3 linked regions of the Tamandua tetradactyla genome follow. The protein of the gene in region 1 purifies or fractionates together with the protein of each later gene. This does not show direct contact. Links are inferred from orthologs where the notes say so. Each region holds a gene or a part of one and is shown on either strand. Other genes may lie near its edges.

Region 1 (8,057 bases):
TGCCTACTTTACATCACTCATTGTTCCAGGTTCTAAAGAAACAAAGCTAAAGGCACTAAAAAAATGCAAATGACATCGTCCCCTCCCCAAGAAGCTTGGGGGGCATGAGGGTAGAGGTAACATAAAGGATGAGAGATGTTCGAAGGGAAAAAGGGCTTTTTTGGGGAACATAGGCAGGCTCTGGGAATCAAACACGGGGTCTCTGGCATGGTAGGCGAGAATTCTGCCACTGAGCCACTGCTGCACCGCCCAAAAAAGGGATTTTTTAAAGCACAGATTACCAATAGAAAAGCAGGGAAAGGTGAAGTAACAAGGCAAGCGCAGAGACGTACAAATACTTCAGTACTGTTAGAGCCCCAAATATGAAGCTACAGAAGGAAGCACAAGATAGAACATGTTTGACTAACTCACACGTTAATTCTTGAGGTCAGGGCTAGGTGGGTTTTTTGACTTGCTATCACTAATGCCTAGCAATGCCTGCCTCCGTATGGGCAATCACTTAACCTCTGTTTATGAAGCCAACCAGTAGTATCCTAGGTGAGTTCAGACTTTTCTCTTTCCCTTATCTGTTCACCCAAAAGCACAAAGAAAAGAACCATGAAACTTGGCTACTAATCGCCCCTCTAAGAATAGCATATTCAAAGTGATCTCAAAGGACATGGAGACAATGGAAATAGGCACCTAATGGGTCTCCAGTTTTTACTCATCTCTTCCCAATTTATTATCACTACTGCAACTATTATTTTGTTGTAGGAAATGTGAATATTTATTGAGACTTCAAAAAATACTATATATTTTTTATCTTTTTGTGGAAACGAATGCCCTTTGATCTCACAAGAATTTCCAAGATGAAATCATTGTCCTCATTTTCATTGAGAAGAATGATTGGTTAAGAAAAGTTATGAACATCTTTAATCTAGTGTTAGATGATCAATCTGTAGAAAATAGGCTTGTCAGATAAACATTATGATCAGGTCAACCATGTCTTCCCTTTCCACTTTTCCTTTTTTGTGATCTTTGTGTCTGTCTCTAGTTCATCTCTTCCTCAATTTTGAGGCAAGATTTACCGTGTTGCTATTTGTCTGATCAATTCTTTTTGAGAATAAAGTCCACATCTTCCCACTTTCTTTTTTTTTTTTTTGCAAACACTTACTTCACCCCCACCCCCTTCCATCTCCTGGTAACCTCTAATCTGCTTTCCACCTCTAGCAATTCGCTATTTCTAGTCAACTTTTATGATTGATAAAATACAATACCTGAACATAAGTGTCTTGCTTATTTCACCCAGCATGTTTTCAAAGTTCTTCCATGTGGCAGCATCTCACAACTACATTCTTTTTTACAACCAAATAACATTAAATAATGTGTATACACCATATTTTGTTTATTCATTCATTTGTTGTTGGATACGTGGGTTGTTTCTACTTTTTGATGTTGCGGATAATGCTGCTATAAAAGCTGGTGTCCAAGTATCTGTTTGTGACCCTATTTTCATTTTCTCTGCTTATGTACCCAGAAGTAGAATTGCCAGGTCATATGATAATTCTATATTGAACCACTGTCTTTTAAAGTATATATTCAGTCACATCTTATCTCTGCTTAAAATGCTTACATGGCTCCAATTACACTTGGAATAAAATTCAAACCCCCTTACATGGCCTAAAAGGGCCTACCCAATTCCTGCTCCTCCTGTCCTATCTCATAATCACTTTTCTTGCATGCAGTTGTGGCTTTTTGTCAATTCGTGTAACTGGTCAAGCTTTCTTTACGACTTTAGGGCCTCTGTTTATGTTTCTTGTAGTTCAGTCTTTCTATTTTTTAGGTCTCTGGTCAAATCCCACCTCCCACAGAGGCCATCCCTGACCATCCATCTCCACACCCAGGCACATCACCCCGCACAGCATCCTGTTTAGTTCCTTATTACCACTTATCATTACTTGCAACTATATATTTACTCCTATTACTGAGTAACGTCTGTTTTCCACAAACAACCATGAGTTCACCTAGGACAGGGTAAACATGAATATTTTTCACACGATATTCCTAACGCCCTTGAGCAGTATCTAGTAAGTAATATGCGCTTAATAAATATCTGCTGAATGGATAAATGAATGCTCTCAAGTCTGGGCTTTGTGTTCCAGAGGGCTGCAGGGCTGAGTATCCTAACACCATGGAATAAAAGTGGGTTTGGGGGTTTTTGAACCCAGCGATCCAAGACCCTGGTTCATCTTTACCCAGACCCGGTGGTCCCAGCCAGCGGGAAATCTCAGATCCGGATGCAAACGAAGAAGGGAAGGGGCCCTACTGGGGAGGGGGCGAGGAGGGCTCCGGAAGAAGCGCGCGCCTCAGACCCCTCCAGATCAGAGAGAAAGAGACTGGCTGCAGCGCGCGCGGCCCCTCACGCGAATGAATGGGGAAGGCGTGAAACCGCCACCAGGCCGGGCGAGGCTGCTGCCCTCCCTCTCGCCCTCTCCGGTGAGCCTGGCCGCTCTCTCCTTCTTACCATCGTGACTACCAATGAATGCTGCAGGCCGCTCGCCTCCGACCCCGCTGTCGTCCGTCCCCGGTGTCTGGAGCGGCTGTCGTAGGCCGGGGGTCTCTGAACCTGAGGAGAAATGGCCGCCAAACAGCAGCGTGACCTTTCACCTCCACCACAGCCCTCCTGACGCCTGTGATTGGACGCAAAGAGATGCATGCTGATTGGAGGAGGCGGCTGGTCACGTCTCCTGGCAACCCACGTCGTGCGCGAGTGCTTTCGGGGTCGCGGACCCGGCTACAGCCTGAGGCCCTGCGCTCGGGACACGGGTCCCTGGGGGCCGGCAGAGCCCGCGGGGGGCCCTTGGACACGCCGTTTGCTCACTCACCCAGGGGGCCTTTGGAAGAACCTTGTCTAGACCTCCGGGTTGGGAGACGCTGTGCACAATGCCAAACGGACGTGATTTCTGTGCTAGGGATTCCCCTTGCCCTGTACTTCCATGGGAACGAGCTCGGGCATCTCGAGTGTCTTCTTTACGTTCCCGCGGATTTTATGACCGGCGGGAGAGATGGCGGCGCCTCTGCCACGGTCTCCTTGTACCTGCGGGTCCTTTTTATTCTGTAGTGCTCATTCTGACCCCGCAGAAAGTCAGGTCCGGAACTGACTTCCGATGAGGTGAAGCCGAGTCTGGAAACGGGGTGGCGGTCCCTGCCATTCCTCTTCTTTTCCGCTGCCCGCGGGGACCGGTAGACCCGTTCCGTGCGTGCGCGGTCGAGGCCCGAGCGGGTGCCGGGGCCGCCCTGCCCGCCTCCCGGGCCCTCGATCCTCGCTCCTCTCTACCCTGAAGGAACCCCAGTCAGTTCTTGAGAACTTGCTGCGGCCCTTGGGGGAGGAATTTGGGCCGAGGATGGAGTGTTAGGAAGGAAGACGGTTGGGGCCTCGGGACCTCAGGACGGTGAGAGGCGCCGTTGGTTCCTACAACTTGTGCTGGGACCCAGCCGGGTCCCGAGGGCCGGTGAGTACAGGTTCGTGGAAAGGCGCTTGGAGCGGCGCTGTCGGTTTACTTTTGTTTTAGAATAGTTTATGCCAAGCAATTTTTGTAATTACTCCAGATGTCTATGGACTTCCCCTTATCTTGACAATTACTCAGTAAATACCTAGCCTTCGTGCAGACTTTGCGTTCCGATGTCTGCCAGGCCCTCGACCGCCGTTAGCGAGGAAATCTTCCCTCGGGGTCTGTGATTTGGCAGTTACCAGCCCCATTTTAGAGATGAGATGAGCAAACGGGCTCGGCAGCTATATTTTTCAGAAGTCTGACTTTTTAAAAAAAGCCATTTTCTCAGTGAAGTAAAAGAAAAAATTTCACCCCAAACGTTAATCTTTGTAAAGCTAGTTGTGTTTAAAGTTGTTTTTTTCTTCTCACGTTGAATATTATGACTATAAATGCCAGACGTATGTTTTGTGGGAATTTTGGAAGATACAAAAAGTTCTAAAAATTAAACCAAAAATCACTGGTAATTCCATCAATCAAAGTCAACAAAGTTTACTTTGTTACTTTGTACAGTTATTGTAACATATGTACGTTTAAAAACAGATATTTTGTAACTTTTCACTTTATAGTGTGCAAATTCTTATATAAATAAAAATTCTTCTAAAGTGTGGTTTAATGCCTCCATTCTACTATTTTATGCATATATGATGATTAATTAATCATTCTTTTGTCATTCCCAGTTCCCCCCATAAATGTGTGTTGAACATATTTGTGTGTGACTCTTTGAGGGTATTTCTGATTGCTTGAAATAAATCTCCGATCCTTCCTGGGTTAAAGGACATTATTATTTTAAAGACTTCTAGAAGTATATTTTGCCATGTTGGCAAAGATTCAACAGAATATCTATCAGAATAATTGGTTTAATCTGTGGGAAATAAAAAGGTTTACATTTTTTGAAGAAAGGATAGAATACATTTTGGGTACACTTTGAGGAAACTGTCCCGAGTTATTAATTAGGCTGAGCAAGTTGGTAAGACCTGAGTGCTACCACACCTCAGCACATGATCCAAAAATTCCAATGTAAACAAACATTTAGAGTAATTTAGTAAATGACCAAGAAATTTTTATTGAGAATCTTCTATGAAGTAGGCACTCAGAGGGTAAAATAGTGAGTAAATTGGACATGTAATCTCTGCCCTTGTGGAACTTAAAAACCTCTTTGAAAGGAAGGGAGCTAACGCACATTGACTGCCTGCCATGTTATGCTGGTGTATTTCATGTTATTTATTTTAAGTCCTTACCATATGTCAAGATAGGTATCATAGTCCCCATTTCGGAGCAGAGGAGGCAGTCACAGAGGTTATGCATTTTTGTCCAAGGCCATGTGGAAGGTGAAATGGATCCAAAGCCTAGGAGACAATGCCTACCCTCTCAGTGTTTTTGAATAGAGTATAAATAAATATATAGAATCCCCAAAAGGATGAAGGGGAATAGAGTTCAGAAAGTTCTCTTTGAAATCCATGATCTCTGCCTTTCATTTTCTCTCTTTTATTCCCATAATCTCAACATTTTGTTTTTCTATGATTATAGTCAGAAACAGTTATAGTTATGGCTAAAGTAAGTTTAAGGGAGGAAAATCTAAGTTTCAAGTACCTTCTATTTAGTTGATGCTTTACACATTTTGTGTTATACCTGAGAGATGTGGTATTTTGTCTCGTAAAGAAATTAAGGCTCAAAAATAATTAACTTCCCGGAGCCTGCCCATGCCAATATATATATATTTATATTTATGTTTATATTTATATTTATATATATTAACTTCCTTAACTCATAAAGCCACTACACCTAAATTAGAATCAAAGTCTTTTTGGTGGTTCAAAGCACTTCCTGTTCCTATCATACAGAGGGAACTGTACCTCAAAGGAAACCTGGCACTGTGGTGGGAGCCAAGACCACCTGAGTTCAAATCCTCATTCTGCCATGTGCTAGTTAATTTATCTTGCCTCAGTTTCTGCATCAATAAAGAGAGGACAACAAGGACAGTACTTCTCTTACAGCGTTGTTTTTAGGAACTAGCAGCCGAAAACCTGAGAGACAAAGTAAGGCTGAGAAAGCCTGAGTTGGGCTATAAGATTTGTTCATATATATAACAAGGTTATATAAAAAAGGACAATATTTGAGGTATCAGAAGATGTCACTGAAAACATTGATATAATATACTTAACAGCACTTTTTATATGATGGTTTATGTGATTAGCAGCATCATGGTTCCCAGAGCTGGTCTGAGACCAGATTTGAATCTGGGTTTGAATCCTGGCTCCAACATCTACTAACTGTGAGAACATGGGAAGAGAACTCAACCTCGATAAGCTTTTTCCACCATTAAATAAGAATACTTCCTCCTTTCTCCCAGAGTGGTAGTGAGCATTAAGAGTTAATACAAGACTCCCTCTCTTTCCTTCCTGAACAATTCAGTCCTAAGGTCCTCAAGAGAAGCTGAGCAAAGAAGGCATTTATGCTGTGGAATGGGGGTTGCTGCATGGGCCCAAATTGGGTGAGGAAGGTGTCCACACAGATGGCATCCCGGAGGCTGGGTGCAGAGCCTGACCAGGAAGAGAGGTTTGAAAGAGCCAAAGTGTTCATCAATAAACAACTCAGTAGATGGGCTGTCACACATCTACAAAATAGAATATTTGCAGTTGTACTAAAGAAAGAAGTATCCATAAATAGATATGGAAAGCTCTCCGAGATAAATTACTAAGAAAAGTATGACACAATAATGTAATGTGTTACCTTGTGTTGAAAAGGGAAATAACAGTCTATTTGTATGTGCATAAATTAACTGGAGGATTCCTAAATACTAAGAACATTGGCTACCCTAATTGGAGTATAATGGGAATTGGGTTGAAAGCAGATAAGGATGAGGCTTTTTACTGTATGTGCTGTTTTATATGTTCTATTTTTGGAACCCTTGAGTGAATTGCCTATTAAAAATTAAACTGAGGATGCAGGGAGGATGGCAGAATAGGGTAGTCTGAGCTCGCCTCTGCTCTGTGGAACAACTAGAGAAGTGACAGGAGGACAGCAGTTCCAGGGTATGAGTACCAAAGAGGGACTTCTACATTATTTAGGGAGGACCTGGATGAAAAAACAGAAATTATGACTGAGAAGATGGGGTGAGTTAACTCAGTTGTGATGCAACTGGGGCAGGCTGCAGCATGCAGGCTGGAGTGGAGCCGAATGCTCCTGCACTCCTGCCCACCTCCATTTCAGCTTGAGAGGTCTTCCCTCTTGGCCCTGCAGCTGGGGCTCCCGTGGGGAACTACAAAGCCAGCAGACTTGGTTTACTGCAGAGGCCTTGCTGCCAGTGCACAGGGCCTGCCCACCAACCCCTGAGGAAAGTCGCTGTGGGAGCCTGGTTTGGGTGGAGGCTGGGGGGCCCTTCCCTTGGGAGGAGGGGGGAACACAGAGCAGAGCCAATCTGACAGCTAGTGAGAGAGACTCCCTGGGTCCTGCTACATCTATCCTTTTGTCTTGGAGGCCTGGAGTGCTCACAGCATGCATGGGTGGAGAGGTGGGGACAATGGGGCAAGCCGTGCAGCACCCCCAGGCACTCCTGGCTGGCTGAGGACAGGGGCAGTTGTAATACTCAGTCCTCAGTCTTTGCACGCAGGAGCCCGGCAACCACCAGACCCATGGTGCCCACAAGTGGATTCCCCACCGTGGTGCACACTGCCCACCCCCGGCCCTGGGGATGGTGGCTCTCACTGCACATCTTGACCTGCGGCCCTGGCTGGCTTTACACTGGGTTGGGATCCAGCAGGGGTAAGTCAGGCCTGATGGAGAGAGGTGGCCCAAGAGCACCATCTGCTGGAAAGACCAGGGAGGTGTAGCCTGGCAAGCCACCATTCTGCCTAGCCTCTAAAAGATCTCCAGTTAGAGTTGCATCTCCTGCATGAGGTCCCGGCCTTGGTTTGGCAGAGAACTGCTGACAAACCAAGTGCAAAAGGAGACCTTCAACACAAACCCAAACAACTCCAAAATCTTAGATGACTTTGAAATCAATTTTCAAACTAATTTTTTCAAGATAATCAAATGTCATGAAGTCAACAAAAAAATCACGAAGCACATGAAGATGCAAGAAATTGTGACCCAGCCAAATGACCAATTTAAAACACCAGAGGAGACACAGAATTTGGAACAACTAATCAAAGATGTTCATACGAATCTCTTAAATAAGTTCAGTGGGTCGGCTAAAAAAAGATAGGAAGATACTAGACAGCATAAAGAAGAATTTGAAAGAATAAATAGAAAAATAACAGACCTTACAGAAATGAAAGTTGCTGTAGCTCAAATTAAAAATATACTAGAGACACACAACAGTAGATTTGAAGAGGTGAAAAAAAATAAGTGAACTAGAAGACAGGACAACTGAATTCAAATGCACAAAAGAACAAATGTTGAAAAAGAAGGAAAATTTGAATTGGATCTCAGGGAAATGATGGACAATATGAAGCACACAAATATGAGAATTATTGCCATCCCCCAGAAGGAGAAGAGAAGACTAAAGGGCTAGGAAGATTAGTTGAG
Region 2 (7,875 bases), about 56 Mb from region 1:
TCATAAAAGGTTTAAGCAAGGAATTTATTCTGTTCCCTTCCTGCCTGGGGGACAAGAACACTGTTGACTGTCCCTTGGACTACTTCAGCCAGGAGTTAAAATGACAGCAAATCTGAATCTTCCTCTATCCATCATCATCATCCTTAAGGCTTAGGATACATTTCTCAGAACTTACTTTATACCCAGCTGGTTCAGCTAGAATATCAGTTCCCTAAACTTTAGCTTGCAGTCCCCTTTTTCATGCCATCCCCTGCCATGTATCTTCAAAAAGGAAATTTAAAAAGGTGAGAAAAGAAAAAAGAATGCATAGCACTTAGAAAAGGTGGAAACAAGCCACTTGAATCTGACAATTTCCTTAGAAATGACTGAATGTTCTATAATCGAGAGACCATGTATATCACCTGGAAATTTTATGTCTCCTACTTATAGCCCTAAAGAAACACTCTAGAGGAAAGGCTACCTGCTCTATAAAGGATCCTAAACTTCATTCATTCTTTCAATGAATATTCATTGAGCACCTATTGGTGCCAGAAACTATTCTACGTGCTGGAGATTCAGCAGTAAACAAATCAAAGACTCTACTTTCTAGTGTGGCTTACAATAAATAATTAGGCAAGAGTAAGAACACCAACAAAGTACTAATGAAGAAAATAAAACAGTGATATGATGAGAAAGGGAACGAACAAGAGATAGAAAGCTTAGGAAAGAATTTTTTAGATTACATTTAGGCTGAGACTTGAACAAAAGGAGAGATAGCTATGCAAAGATCAGGGAAAATAATCTATTAGGTAGAAAGAATCACAAGTACCGAGGCACTAGGGCAGGAATTACCTTAGTATGCTTGCTAATTAAAAACAGACCTGCGTGACTGAATGGCAGTAACCCAGGGGAAAAACTGATTCAAGATGAGGTCAGTGAGGTAGGTAGGACTCAGATCATGGAAATGTGTTACAAGCCACAGCAAGGAATTTGGATTTTAATCCGACTATGTGAATGTTTATGATATGATATGGTATAATTTAACATTTTAAGAGAATTACTTCAGTAATTTGCAAGAAAATATGTGGGGGGGGGCAAGACTAAAAAAATAACCTCTGAGAAAACTATTACAGTAGTGTATGCATAAAACTGATGGAAAAATAAGAATAAAAAATAAATAATGGGGGGATAAGGGGTAAAAAAAAAATGGGTAGATTGAAATACTAGTGGTCAATGAGAAGAAGGGTAAGGCAGTTTGGGATGTATGAGTTTTTTCTTTTTCTTTTTTTCTAGAGTGATGTAAACGTTCTAAAAATGATCATAGTGATGAACACAGATCTATGTGATGACATTTTGAGCCACTGATTGTATACTTTGCATGAACTGTACATGTGTGAAGATATCTCAATAAAAAAAGAAAGAAAGAATGGTGGCTTATTCTAGGAAGATGGCAACGGAGATGGAAAGAAGTAGACAGCTTCAGGGGATGCTCTGAGAGCTCAGTTGACAGGACTTACTGATAAGGAGAAAGAGGGGAAGAGCAGACACAAATATAACTCCTAAATTTATGGTTTGATCAACTTAATGGTTAGTGGTGGCAAAACTGAACGAGAGAAGACTGAGAGAGGAACAGATGAAAGAGGAAATCAAAAGTTTCACTTGGGTTGAGTGTGAGATGTTAATAAGAGAACAAAGAGGAGATTCCAGGAAGGCAGACACATATGCAAATCTGGAACCCACGGGAGAGTTCAAGACTGGAGACAAAAATATGAGTCAATCAATACATTAAGATGGCTTTTAAAGTCATGGCACAAAATATTATTTAAGTAGACAGAATAGTTAACTGAGCTCTGGGGTACTCTGACATTTTAAGAGGTCAAGCAGAGGAGAAAGAGAAAAAAACTGGAAAAAAAGCAGTAATGAGAAAAGAGTAAAAAGGAAAGTATAGCACTACAGAAGCCAAAAAAGTGTGTCAAGGAGGGAGTAATCAACAGTGTCAAATACTAATGAGATGGAGAAAAAACAGGAAAGAGAGAAGTTAGCAATTCATTCGGAAAAACGGAGATTGCTAGTGACCCTGACAAAAGCTATTTCAATTCCACAGAAGGAGTAAAAGCCTGTGTGAAGAGAGCTAAGGAGAGAACGAGGAGAAAAAAATATAGACAGTAAATACAGACCATTTTTATTACAGGCTTTACTTATCAAAAGGGCCAGATAACTAAGCTGCCCTGGCTATTGATTCCCTGTCAAACAAACCTCCAGATCTTTGAGTTCCTCAGTTCTTGTAAGGTAGGGGCAGATTTTTTCGTTCAAGTAAGTATTTTTCAATTGTCTACTATATGCTAGGCACCATTCTAGGCACTCTGTGAGTTACAAAAGGAAATCAGGAAGATCCTACCCACAGGAAGTTTATAGCTCAACAATGGGGATTAGACACAAGCAAATAGATGCCAGGGTGAAGACTCAGATAAGTATTACCGGAATTCAAAGGGGTTTTAATTCCGTTTGTGAAAGGGGAGTTGGAAGGTTCCGTAGAGGAAATAGTTCTTGAGCCCTTAAATATAGGTAGAATTTCATGATGTGTAATTGAGGGCGAAGAAAGGAAGTCATTCCTGGCAAAAGAAATAATACAGGAGGAGCAGAGGCGGGAAAGCATGCACTGGTTCTGGAAGAAAAGCCAGAGTGCCAGTTTGGCTGCAGCAAGAAGTACTCGAAGAACGAAGAAACCAAGTCGAACTGAACAGGGAATATCAAGGGGCTATGCCGTGGGCAAATGTCTGGGCCCCTAACAACGTCGACCCGCGTCTAGGGTCTTGGCCTGGACCCTAGGAGCCAACACTTTCAGCTAAGGGCCCGCGCCCCTCAGCTTTTGCCCACCAGAGCTTCCCACGCTCGTGCTCCTTCCCTGAGGCGTACTTCCCCACCTCACGCCGGAAGCAACGGCCACCGCCGTGACCCCACTCTCGCCCGCTCTTGCAAGGTACTGAGAACCACCTCTCTCGCCCGGGACTCACCACCCTGAGTGTGAGCCGCCCAACGCGGCCTTAACGTCGCCGAGCAGTCGCCATCTTTCCCGTTTCCTGGTCACAGAGTTGAGCCCCCGGCCGCGCGGCAAGCTGGGAAGGCGAGTTCCGGGTCCTGAATGCTGCAAGTCAACAATAGGGCCTGGAAACTACCAATCCCAGAATGTACGGCGCGAGCGCCGACCCCGGCCGCGGGGTCTGCTGGATAATGTGGTTCGCCAAAGTGTTTTGCGTCTGCAGGAGGAGGAAGTTTCGTTGGGTCGACTTCCCGCGTGGAGTTTTCCTGTCGCGCAGTCTTTCTGGAATATGCTGGTCTTCCTAGGAACTACAGCTAATGACTCTCATGGCTTGTCCCTTAACAGCGGAGAGATTTAATGATTTTCTTAATTATAAAAGTTAACTGCAGCAATAACAACAAAATACTGTTTCTGAAAAAGCATTTTTACAAAAATTCTGAGGTAGAAGAAGATTATTAGCCCCTTAAGCTAAGGGTTAAGATACGGGAAAGAGTAACCTAGTATTTCACAACGAGGATGGATCAGTTCTTCCTTGTGCGGTACTATCCCACGCTTTGGAGGACATTTAGCAACTGTGACCCTGAAGGAGGTAAATGCCGTTAACAACCCCCTGTTATAGTGACAACTCGAAATAAGCCCACATGTTTCCAGCGGTCATCTGGGAGAGTGTATTTGTCCTGCTTGTGATACCTGCTGTCCTTCAGCATTCCAGACAGGACCTGGCTTCATTTTCTTGCCCTTTGGGATCTAGCCAATTGTTGAGCTATCTTGGGATTTAGGCTTTGTTCTCCCTCTCCCTGAGCTCTTTTACTCCCAAATTCTTTTTCTCTTTGGTCTTATGGTTTCATAATATTCCCTAAAACCAAACTAAAAAACAAAATCCATGCCACTTATAGGACAGTTTAAATACCATGCATGAAGTATCTTGTGCCTCCTTCCTTCCCATTTTCTCATCATCACCTTTGTTATCGCAACCGCACGGGGCTGTGGGTCCCGCTACTCTCTCCAAATATGCTTCCCATTCTTCTCAAACAGAGCTTCGAGATAAATGCAAATACTTCTGAAGCCCTGAGCCTCGCACACAGTGGCTCAAAGTAACCTTGGGAGTTACTCAGAACTCTGCTGCCTTTGACCTGCTCCTGACTTCTACCCAAAGGGAGAACAGAGAGAAAGGAAGTCTGAGATCTACTAAGTGTACTACAACCAGTGAACACAAGAGGGCCCTCCACTCACAGATTGGAACCACAACTGAAAATCAGACCTTAAGAGAAAGCTGGAATCTTTAGAGCTGCAACTAGCATGCGCTGAGAATCTTGTAAGTGTCGAATCCTACACTGAACATGTTGCTTTATGTTGAAACAGCTCGAAGGATATTAAGGAATGATGAGAAGGAGAGAGATAAAGGAAGAAAAGAAAGACAGATGCGAATGGGTTCAGGGGGTCTGAAGCTTAAATCTACATCAGACATCAGACAACTTTATTCTCAACCAGATCCCAGTTATATACCACAGGATGTCAATAGATACGCAGGCATTTCCTGAGGGAGCAAGATTCTTATCTCACAGTGTTCTTCATACTTAACATAACTGTTTTGGGTAAACATTCTCTTCCTCCCAGACTGCTCTACATAACAATCTCCACAGTTTACCGCCGCCATCCTGAGGCCAGCAGCTTGCAACAAATTCTGTAGGTCTTGCTTTAAACTCTTGGCTTCTACATGGACACTCAACCCACCTTACTTAGTTCTCATAACCATATGAGATGGCTATTATCTCCATTTTGCCAATGAGGAGGCTGTGGTCCAGCAAGGTTAATTTTGCCTTAAACACTTAGCAAGGTTGGAGCCACTATAGCCCCTTCCAACATGGTAAAGTTAGAATGGGCATAGCCTGTATACCCCTAAAGAGTGCCCGCCCCTTCTCTATATAACTCCCAGGGGTGTGGACCTCCCTGGCAACATGGTACAGAAATCCTAGAATGAGCTGGGACTCAGAACCAATGGATTGAAAAAAACTTCTCAACCAAAAGGGGGAAGAGAGAAGTGAGACAAAATAAAGTGTCAATAGCTCAGAGATTCCAAACAGAGTCAAAAGGTTATCGTGGAGGTTATTCTTATGCATTAAATAGGTATCACCTTTTCAGTTAAGGCATAACAGAGAGTCTGGAGGGAACTGCCTGAAAATGTAGACCTGTGTTCCAGTAGCTATGTTTCTTGAAGATGATTGTATAATAATATAGCTTTCACAATGTGACTGTGTGATTGTGACAACCTTGTGTCTGATGCTCCTTTTATCTACCTTATTGACAGATGAGTAAAACATACTGCATGAAAATAAATAATAAGAACAAAGGAATGTCATTATTGCAGGGTGCTGAAGATAGATGATAATTAATACTTTAGAATGTCACCTTATGTGTGAGACTAAAGCAAAAAATGTTTATTTGTTACAAAATTTATATTTTGACAAGAGCATTTCCTAATACAACTCATGTAGATAGTTTGATTGAATGTCATAAGTACTTAGAATCTCAGGTAGGACATGAGATTTTGTTGGTTTGTCCAGAGTGATGCCCCGATGAATCCCAGAGTGATTTGATCAGTGAGTGGAAAAGTATTTGCAAGCCCCCTTCAGGGAATGGTGAGAGTGGGGAGAAATTCAACTTCCCCAAGTTGAATTCTTGATGTTCTCACAAGCAGTGTGGACAACCAAAGCTGTAGGCTGAGCCCCCAGTCTTGAGGTTTGTTCATATGAAACTTGACCCCACAAAGGATAGGTCAAGTCTACTCAAAATTTAGGCCTAAGAGTCACCCCCAAGAGAGCCTCTTTTGTTGCTCAGATGTGGCCTCTCTCTCCAGCCAACATGAAGAGCAGTCTCACCACCCTCCCCCTCTCTGCGTGGGACATGACTCCCAGGGGTGTGAACCTTCCTGGCAAGGTGGGACAGAAATCCTGGAATGAGCTGAGACTCAGCATCAAGGGACTGAGAAAAACCCTAGAATGAGCTGAGAATTAACATCAAGGGATTGAGAGAACCTTCTCGACCAAAAGGGGAAAGAGTGAAATGAGACAAAGTGTCAATGGCTGAGAGATTCCAAACAGAGTCGAGAGGTTATCCTGGAGGTTATTCTTATGCATTAAGTAGGTATCACCTTGTTGTTCTAGATGTAGCGGAGAGGCTGGAGGGAACTGCCTGAAAATGTAGAGCTGTGTTCCAGTAGCCATGCTTCTTGATGATGATTGAACAATGATATAACTTTCACAATGAGATTCTGTGAATGTGAAAACCTTATGTCTGATGCTCCTTTTAACTACTATATCAACAGAACAGTAGAACATATGGAATAAAAATAAATAATAGGGGGAACAAATGTTAAAATAAATTTAGTTTGAAATGCTAGTGGGAAATGAAAGCGAGGGGTAAGGGGTATGGTATGTATAATCTTTTTTTTCTCTGTTATCGTTTTATTTCTTTTTCTGTTGTCTTTTTATTTCTTTTTCTAAATCGATGCAAATGTTCTAAGAAATGGTGAATATGCAACTATGTGATGATATTAAGAATTACTGATTGTATATGTAGAATGGAATGATATCTTAATGTTTTGTTAATTTTTTTAATTAATAAAAAAAGTTTATAAATAAATAAATAATAGGGGGAACAAATGTTTAAATAAATTTAGATCGAAATGCTAGTGATCAATGAAAGGGAGGGGTAAGGGGAATGGCATGTATGAATTTTTCTCTGTTGTCTCTTTATTTTTCTGAATTGATGCAAATGTTCTACGAAATGATCATGATGAGGAATATACAATTATGTGATAAAAAAGAATGTTCATATTGTTTGTTGATCGGTTTTATTAATAAAAATTTTTTAAAAAGAGTGGAAGAAAGATCAAAGGGGAGAGTGGAGTTATATAGAGAAGGTAGAGTTTAACACATAAGTATGAGGGCTGAATCATTATACTGATGTTTCTTTTAGTCTCCAGTACCTTAGAAGGTAGAAGGTAGAAACCTAAAATTGTGGAATTGTAACCCATACCAAACTCTGAAATCTGTTCTACAATTAATTGTTGCGATGTACTTTGAAATTTGCTTTTTTGCATATATGTTATTTTTCACAAAAAAGAAAAAAAAGAGGAGGAATATAACAGAGAAGATAGGATTTAACAAATGAGTATGACTGCTGAATCATTATATTGATATTTCTTTTGGTCTCCTGTGTCTTGGAGCAGCTAAAATAAAAAAACAGAAAAAACGTGGAACTGTAACCCAAGCCAAATTTTAAAATCTGTTGTATAACTACTTCTTAAAATGTACTTGGAAATGTATTACTTTTTTGTATACATGTTATATTTCACAATTTAAAAAAAAAAAGGAAGATGGAGCCAGAATTCAACTCCAGAATCATCCAACTTCAGAATCTATGCTTTCCCTATTTCCAGGCTACCATTCTTCACCATCCTTAAAATTAAGGGAATTGAAACCCAGAAAGGTGACAAAGCTTCTCCAGGTTCGTAGTGGCAGAGTTCCCCTAGTACTTGTGCATACCTCACTCACAACACATATAAGACATATCAGCTTAAAGGATATTTGCTGTTTGTCTTACTCTGCTGGTTCTTTTTTTTAATGCAATTTTATTGAGATATTTTCACATATCATATAATTATCTAAAGTATACAATCCATGGCTCACAGTTATCATCATATAGTTGTGCATTCATCACCACAATCAATTTTAGGACATTTTCATTATTCCAAATAAAAAATAAGAAAAGAACACCCCAAATATCCCATACCCCTTATCTCCCTATTCATTTATTTTTTATTCATCTTTTTTGTACTCATCTGTCCTACATTG
Region 3 (7,918 bases), on another chromosome or scaffold:
AAGTGTTATCCATGCGTTATGGTAGTGCTTACAACTCCAAGAGATAGGTACTACTGTTAGCCCTGTCTGCAGATGAGAAAAAAACTGAGCCACAGAACACTTGACACAGATTCAAGACAGATGACAAAATTTGACAACTGGAACACCTCCAACAGCATTCAAGAAGAGTAGTTTCCCAAGAGGCTAAGGCGAGTTTACACTGGGTTAAGGAGAAAATGAGATGTAGAAGTGAAGAGAGCTCCAAAAAGAAGATCTGTGAAAGGACGACTCAGGATGTTGCTGAAGGGATACAAGTTTGGGGAGTTTTGTTTTGTTATCAAGATAGGATTCTAAGCATCGTTTTATGCCATATGTCCAATAATAAAAAGTAAAATTCACGAAGGTAATTTAAACCTTAAAAACCTGTAAAAGACTTTTTTTAAGTTATAACATTATACTTGGGAGCACCTTAAATACAAAGGAATTTTTGCATTCTGTCTCCTCTTTCCACATCTTGACCTTCTGATCATTCCTATTGGGCTTGTTTGGGTTTACACTACTGTACTGGTTTGAATCTGTTATGTACCCTAGAAAAAGTCTAGGTTCATTTTTTTTTTTTTTTTTTGCATGGGCAGGCACCAGGAATTGAACGCCAGGTCTCTGGCATGGCAGGTGAGAACTCTGACACTGAGCCACCGTGGCCCACCCAGGCCTATGTTCTTTTAATCCATCCTGTGGTGCAGACCTATGTGGGTGGGACTTTTTGCTTAGGTTGTTTTCATGGAGATGTGATCCATTCGATTCAAGATGGGTCTTAATCCTTTACTGGAGTCCTTTGTGGGAGGATAAAAGACAGTACAAACTCAGAGAAGTTGAAAGAGAAAATATCCTGGGAGAAGCAAGAAGGACCCACAGAAGCTGAGAGAGCCATTTTGAAATCAGAACCATGAGAGAAGGAACAGGAGACGTTGCCATATGCCTTTCCATGTGACAAAGGAACCCTGGATGGGAACAGCTTTTCTCAGAGAAGGTATCCTCTTCTTGATGACTTAATTTAGAAATTTTCATAGGCTTAGAACTATAAATCTGTAGCCTAATAAATCCAATCATTTCTGGTATATTGTGTTCCAGCAGCTTTAGCAAACTGAAATAACTACCAACTGGTGAGCTTCTGTCAGTGAGCTTCAGCCATACTAGTGTTTTCTTAGTTCTTCAAACATACTAAGATCTTTGCCACCTCAAGGCTTGCTGTGCCCTTTGAGGGGGAACTCTTACCTTAGCTTGTACATTGTTGCATCCTTCTCGTTCTCCATTTCCAAATCATAAGCCACCTTTTCAGGGAGAGCTTTCCTGACCAACTTATCTAAACTAATATTCTTACCTTATTCTCTATCATGGCACTCTACATTATTCGTTCACAGTACTCAGCCCAATCTGTAACCGCCTTCTTTGCTCACATTTTATTGTCTACCTGTCCACTACAATGTATGTATCATGATGGCAAGGATGTCTGGCTTGTTTGCCTGTGTTTTCAGCCCTTAGAAGGGTTCGTGGCAAATAACGTGTGCTCAGTAAATATTTGTGAAATGAATTACATAACCCACATCTCCCTCTAGCACTTTTCTTCTACTGGGATCATGTACACGGTTTCGTAAATCCAAGGTCTTTTTCTTAAGTATACCAACATATACCATCATAACAACTAGCATTTATTGAATTGTCACTAGGTACCAGGCACTGCGCTATTAATTTATATGTATCATTTCACTTACTCTTCACAATAATATACTCCCATAGACAGGTACTTTTAAAATCAAGAGAAGGAGGAAGAGGTGGAATAACTTGCCCGGGTTCACACACTGTTAGGGTCGGAATTCGAACTCAGTTCTAATTTCATAAACAAAACAAAGCCGAGCCACTGCTCACTTCAGTAACGGCACATTCTTTATTTTGGGCGATCCTAATCTCTCTTTATTTATGTTTTCAGATTGCACTTGCTCTATGGAGGCCACGTTCTAATATATACACTCAAATTTCATCCCCTTCTTCCACTTGCTTTCTTAGGGCCGGGGACAGGGTGAGAAGCAGTGGAGGGCGGTCCTGAACTTCCAATTCTCCGACTCAGCTGAGGAAGACGCATGTAGGAAGCACAAGAGATTCAAGCCTCAGAACTTTCTCTCAGCACTGAGGAAAAGGTACAAGGAAGCCTAACAAGCCCTAGCTGGCGGCGGGTTTTGGAAGAGAAACCAAAAATTCCCGCACCGCAGCAGCGGCCAAAGCCCTTACCTTAACTGCCACCTCCGGAGCCGAGTCCACTGCAACTGCCAGAGAAGGCTTGGCCGAAGGCAATTTAGTCAGGTGCATAAGGGATTCGGCAGCTGGTAGCGGACATCGTCCGCTCTCACTGTCTGAGTCCGATTCGGACCCTGAACCCGAACCATAGGAAGCAGCCAGAGCTGCAATCGCAGCCGACATGACGGCAACAGACCCGCTGCGAAGACCAGGCCCGGCGGAAGAAGAAGGGGCTCCCAGGTCCTGACAGATTACCACAGAACATATTATTTGCCCCGCTTTACTAAGAAAGCGTTTATAACATTTTCAAACAATCAAGTAATTACAAATATAGTAACCCCCAAGTTAATAAAGAATTTGGAATCATTTATCTAGGGAAACACAGAGAATAAAAATAGTTTATAACTTTCAGGACCTATTTGACTAGCTTAAAGACTACGAGTACCGAAATACCTTGAGGCCTTGCGTTCCTGACTTCCGGCGTGCTGCGCGGCGGGAAGTGGGAGAAGGCACGATGGGAAGTGTAGTTTGAGGTGAGGGGGCGGGACCGGCCTGGCAGGCCTCTCTTTGATCCCGCCCCCGAAAGGATGGTTCATTCAATTGGCTATCATCTTCCCTCATTCCCTAGCCAAGCACTGTGCTCTCCGCTCCCCTTCCCCCAAACGGAGGATTGGGCAATACCACACCGGTTCAGGAAGGGGGGTGGGGGCGGTATATCCATCCTCACGGACAGGTGAGTGGGCAGAGTTTCCCACAAGGGTTATGCCTGGGCACTGGGAACTATAGAAGAAACTGAGTCTTAAGTTCGAAGACCTTAACTGGCGGGGAATAGCTCCCGCTGGGAAGGAAGAGAGGTTAGGTGACGGGAGTCCAGCGGCACCCCCGGCTTCCGGCGCGTATCCCCGCGCCCGGTTGTGGAGCGTCGCGCGCGGGGAGGGGGCGGCCGGGGGGCGGCGGCGGTTCCCGGTGTTGTTCGCTCGCGCGTCGAGCACACTGTGGGTCCGGCGACCGGTTGGCGCCGCAAGCGGCGATTCCGGTGGCCTGGAGCCTCGGCCGCCGCCAGGAGCGGATTCCATTCCGAGCCCGACGCTCCTAGGTGGAGCACCAAGATCTGAGAGGGTCCGGCGGCCGCCGCCAAAGCATGAAGAAGGGCTAAGGCAAGAGCCCCCAAGATTTCATGGTGAGCGCGAGTCTCTCAGGAATTTTTTTGGTGGGTGCGGGGGATGCTAAGATAGGAACTCTTCCTCCACAGCCGAACAGAGAGGTGTGTGTGGCTCTCTAGCCCGGCAAATGTTAAGGAATGGGCGCGCCTCTCCCTCCGACGACCCCCACCCCCATTCGTGGGTTTCCCGAGCTCCCGCCGCCCACTCGCCGGCCAGGCTAGGTGCCGAGGGAGACGGGGGCTAGCGCGCTTGGGTTTCGGTTGCAGGGACCGCACTGAAGCTGCCCTAGGCAGAGAGATCACCTGAGGTGCCATCGCCAGAACCCCCCCCCCCCCCCGCCCCGCCACCACGTCTCCTGCCCGCCTGGTGGCCCCCTTGCCTCCTCGTTTGCGGGTAGGCTGCAGCACCGGGTCGGAGAGAATCCCCTGCTCGCTCTTTGAGACCCAGGCTCTGTAAAGCAAGCTCGTGCGTTTGCGTGTTTGCGCGGCGAGTCGGTGTCTATAGACATAACGGTAAAGCCAGTATGGGAAATCCTTTATTCGTTTGAAGAGGAGGCAAAGTGGTGCGGTCTCCTCTGATGCCTGTTAATGGGGACCCCTTGGGCAGAGTTAGGGAGCAGCTCTCTTAGCTCCGATGTGGGCTGGACTCGCCCATTGTGCCACCCAGATAATTATTCAACTATGCAGCATCCATTGCACCTTTTCCATTTTTCTTTTCCCCTTGCTACAGCATGCCCCCTAGCTTCTGTACTCTGACGCCTTTTGCACTCGCGGATGGTAAACTGAAATAATGATGAAAAGAAAGCACATTCTGTCCTAATGTGCTTTACTACCTGTCCTAAAGCAATTAATAAATCCCTAGCTCGGCTAGGTGCTAGAATACGACTCATTCTAATCCTATCCTTTTCTATGGATAGGGTGCCTCGGATTAATTTTCTTTCTTGGGTGTTAGATTGAAGTGTTGTCTTATTTCTGTTCAGTAAGTTAATTTATTGCCTACTCAACACGTCTTATTTATTGTTCTTAAATTGAATTTCCATGGTAACTTCCATTTTTCTAATTGTTGATAGAAACTATATATATATATTGTCGATATAAACTATATTTATCATAACTACAAATGCAGTATGACTCTGAACTCTCAGAAACAGTTTTGCCATTATGCTCTAAGTTTCTTTTGGGAAAAGAAACTTATTATTTATGTCAAATATTTCCTTAAAATACTTGATATGAAATTTCTCAAGTTTTGATTAAGAAAAGTTTTGTATTTCTTTATTTTTCAGTAGCAGAATAATTGATTGCTAATCATAGCCGTGATTTAGTTGAATGCAAGAATTTAAGATGGGGTTTTAACTGTCATATTGAGCATACCCTAATTTATTTAAATTTTATTTTTATTCAGTTCTTTTCTTTGCAATTTCGATTATTATGATTGCTTGTAGAATTTTTTTCTCATTTTTCTAACTTCTATCCACAAGGATGGGTAGTCTCCATTTTTGCATGATCTGTCATATCAGAAAGATGAAATATTTTTGGAAAGTATAAGAAACAACTTGATAATTATGTTAAAAACTGTTTACATATCATTATTTAAAAATAAATTATTCACTGCTAAATATGTGTTTTCTTTTTATTTTTTAATCCTCCCTTTCCAGCTTTCATTGTTTAAGCAGTTGCACTTTTCCTTTTAATAAAATGAAATTGTGCATAGGCATTGCAGAGGCAGTTGTTTTAAGGTACGATAATTGTTTTATGGTACTTGTAAGTGGCTCACATATAACTTGATAGCAGTAGAATCAAATCCTTGTTTAGGAAATGACATTGCAATTTACAGAACAGATACCTCTGTGCCTTGGTTTCCTTGTATGTAAATGAAGACACTACCCATTTACTTCTCTAGGTAGTTGTTTGAATTTAGTAAAGATGTTTTTGTAATGCTTTTAAAGGTAAATATTTTAGTTGATGAATCATGAAAATATTTGTGTAAAATACAACGAAAAAATGTCGTTAGAATTTCCCCTCGCACTTTAGAATGGCTGATTCACATTGAATTTTGCTTTGAAGAGGTATAGCTCTAAAGTGAAGAATGTTTTTCATCCATGAAGAGTTTTTAATATTTGCAGATTTATTGATCTCGATATGTCATTAATATTGATGAAAAAATTTTATGACTCTATAATGAAACCAATGGAACACTGAATTACGTTTGTTAAAAGTAAAATCTCCTTAAAATATTAAGGCCTTTTTCATTGAAAAATTTGCAGATGACATAATCCAGAATACATAGTTGTGATCATTTCTAGGGTTTAATATAGAGCTACTTTGTTTATCATTCAGGTTTGTTAAAATCTACATCTTCAGAAGCCATCTATTAATAGTATATGACTATAAATTATTATGCATTTTGATTTATTACAAGAATAGTTTAAGATATCTTTTCTCGGTGTTTGATTTTTCATTGCCATAGTAGTTAGAAGCTTTTGATTTCCTTATTGGAGAATTAACAGTTCATTTTCATAGCAAAAATTACCATTAAGCTGTTATATTATTAGAACTTTTACCAAAACAGTGTTTTTGGTTACTTTATGAAAAAAATTCATATAAATATTGAGTGTTAAATTGTCTTTAAAATTACTATTGTGTTTTTTCCTTTGTGAATTAACTTTGTTACATTTTATAATCATTTTTTAAAATGACCAATTAGAATTGAGCTGTGGGGCGGGCAGATGGTTGCATAGTGGTAGAGTTCTTGCCTGCCATTCTGGAGACTCGGGTTGGATTCCCCGTGCCTGCCCATGCCAAAAAAAAAAAAAGAGTTTGAGCTGTTATTATTCTCAGGTAAATGCATTTAAGTCAAGCTACTTGAAGACAGGAACTGACTTGATGTGTAGTCATACATTCCAAGTTTTTAGCATAGTGTCTGGAAAATAATAATGCCTCAGTTTTCTTTGTTGGCAAATAAAATGAATGAGTGAAAATATCCATTAAACAATTGACTGGGTAGAAATTTAAATCTAAAAATAGATTTATCAAACTAAAATTTTAATTTGTGAAACATCACATATCTTTATGTGATATGTGGGGGTTCTTTAAACTCCATTTACCTGTACAGACTTAATTCATAATTCCTTTACTCATCCATTTTTTGAACTAGCACTAGATACTGAAAAATGTATAACTTGGCAACTTTTCAGTTGTGAAAATATGAACAATTTTATTCTGACCTTTTATAACTCATTTGATAAAAATATGTGTTAATTTTTTTGTTTTTCCTAAATAAGATGAGTATAGAAATTGTTTCTTTTTTATTTATCTCAGTTTTCTAGTGAATTATTAATAAAAAGATGTATGTATATCAAATCCTGTGTTAACTGCCTGAATACCTAATTTAAAAATAAATGACCTCTGTGGTGGAGCTTTTTATAAATGAGGAATCTTGTGTTTTTAATTTATCACATCAAATTTATAATTTACTGGTAGTTCCTACCTTAGACTGGGATTGATTATATTGTAAAATGGTTTAAAACCCATAACTTAATTTTCTAATAGAAACAATATTATTGGTGGTTAGATTTTTAGGTGGTCTACTAAAGACTGTTTAATCCATAGTATACCTATAGGATTATGCTAAGAATATTAGAGAATTATAAAAATTATAGTACTAGTATAAATAATATATTAAAGTATCTCTAATAAAATGTCTATTTTCTGTGGAAAAATAATTCAGAATCTAGCTTGAAATGCTGCGAATACCTTTTCTCCTATGCTGGACCTCACAGGATTATTTGGAACTTTTCTCTTGACAATTGGACATGAAGAGAAGGGCCTTCCTCAGTTCAGTGGGTGCTGTCACCTTCCATTATCTGGGGCAAAGGACCAGGGAATGAGGGAAATTGGAAAGAGATGGGGTCTTTCTTCCCTGTAACCATGGGCAAGTCACTTACTTCTCATGGTTTTCTTGGTTGTAAAATGAGAAGGTTGAATCAAGTGACCACTGAGGTCCCTTCTAGCTACAAATAAAATCCTAAGGTACTTTCTGCTCAGTATAACCCCCTTTTACTGTGAATTCATTTTCCTTTTCTAATTTCACTGTTTATTACTTCTGGCCAGGGTATTTCTCCTTCCTGGATCAATTTCTAGCAAGAATAGTCTGTTCTCAGAAGGAAGCTTTTCAGATTTTAGAGGTATTTTGTTGTTCCTTTTATATTTTGCTTGTTTGTTGTTGTTGTTGTTGTTTTAAAGAAAACTCCTAGCACCACCAAGGAAAAGAATTAAGATAATCTTTCTTTTCCTCTTTTGAGTTATTTTTTTATCAAGACCCTTTAAGTAAAGTCAAAGTAGATTTTATTTGTCCTTTGATAAAGATCATATCCATTGAATCTTGAGAGGAATTGCTTTCTTTTTTAAAGGAAAATTATTGGAACTGAGGTTAGGGAGTGGGAGTATAATGGAAAAGAGATGGAATGTGGCCTGAGGATAGGATTG

Evidence for each region. Proteins that work in one complex are often made in the same cells at the same time.
Region 2: the proteins of SNRPF (region 1) and DDX23 purify together in Homo sapiens (co-immunoprecipitation; 3 studies listed by BioGRID and IntAct, counting the BioPlex papers as one, with this or other methods). This does not show direct contact. The link is inferred for Tamandua tetradactyla from reciprocal best matches to the Homo sapiens genes SNRPF and DDX23.
Region 3: the proteins of SNRPF (region 1) and CDC40 purify together in Homo sapiens (co-immunoprecipitation; 3 studies listed by BioGRID and IntAct, counting the BioPlex papers as one, with this or other methods). This does not show direct contact. The link is inferred for Tamandua tetradactyla from reciprocal best matches to the Homo sapiens genes SNRPF and CDC40.

Annotation. Positions count from the first base shown.
Region 1 is NC_135333.1:165,942,136-165,950,192, reverse strand, and holds the start of SNRPF (small nuclear ribonucleoprotein F), read right to left. Parts: upstream 3,058-8,057; 5' UTR 2,865-3,057; intron 2,670-2,864; 5' UTR 2,507-2,669; coding exon 2,504-2,506; intron 1-2,503. UniProt on the Homo sapiens protein: Plays a role in pre-mRNA splicing as a core component of the spliceosomal U1, U2, U4 and U5 small nuclear ribonucleoproteins (snRNPs), the building blocks of the spliceosome.
Region 2 is NC_135333.1:109,743,628-109,751,502, forward strand, and holds the start of DDX23 (putative ATP-dependent RNA helicase DDX23), read right to left. Parts: upstream 3,096-7,875; 5' UTR 2,994-3,095; intron 1-2,993. UniProt on the Homo sapiens protein: Involved in pre-mRNA splicing and its phosphorylated form (by SRPK2) is required for spliceosomal B complex formation.
Region 3 is NC_135331.1:168,750,320-168,758,237, reverse strand, and holds the start of CDC40 (pre-mRNA-processing factor 17), read right to left. Parts: upstream 3,096-7,918; 5' UTR 2,893-3,095; coding exon 2,725-2,892; intron 2,515-2,724; coding exon 2,266-2,514; intron 1-2,265. UniProt on the Homo sapiens protein: Required for pre-mRNA splicing as component of the activated spliceosome. Plays an important role in embryonic brain development; this function does not require proline isomerization.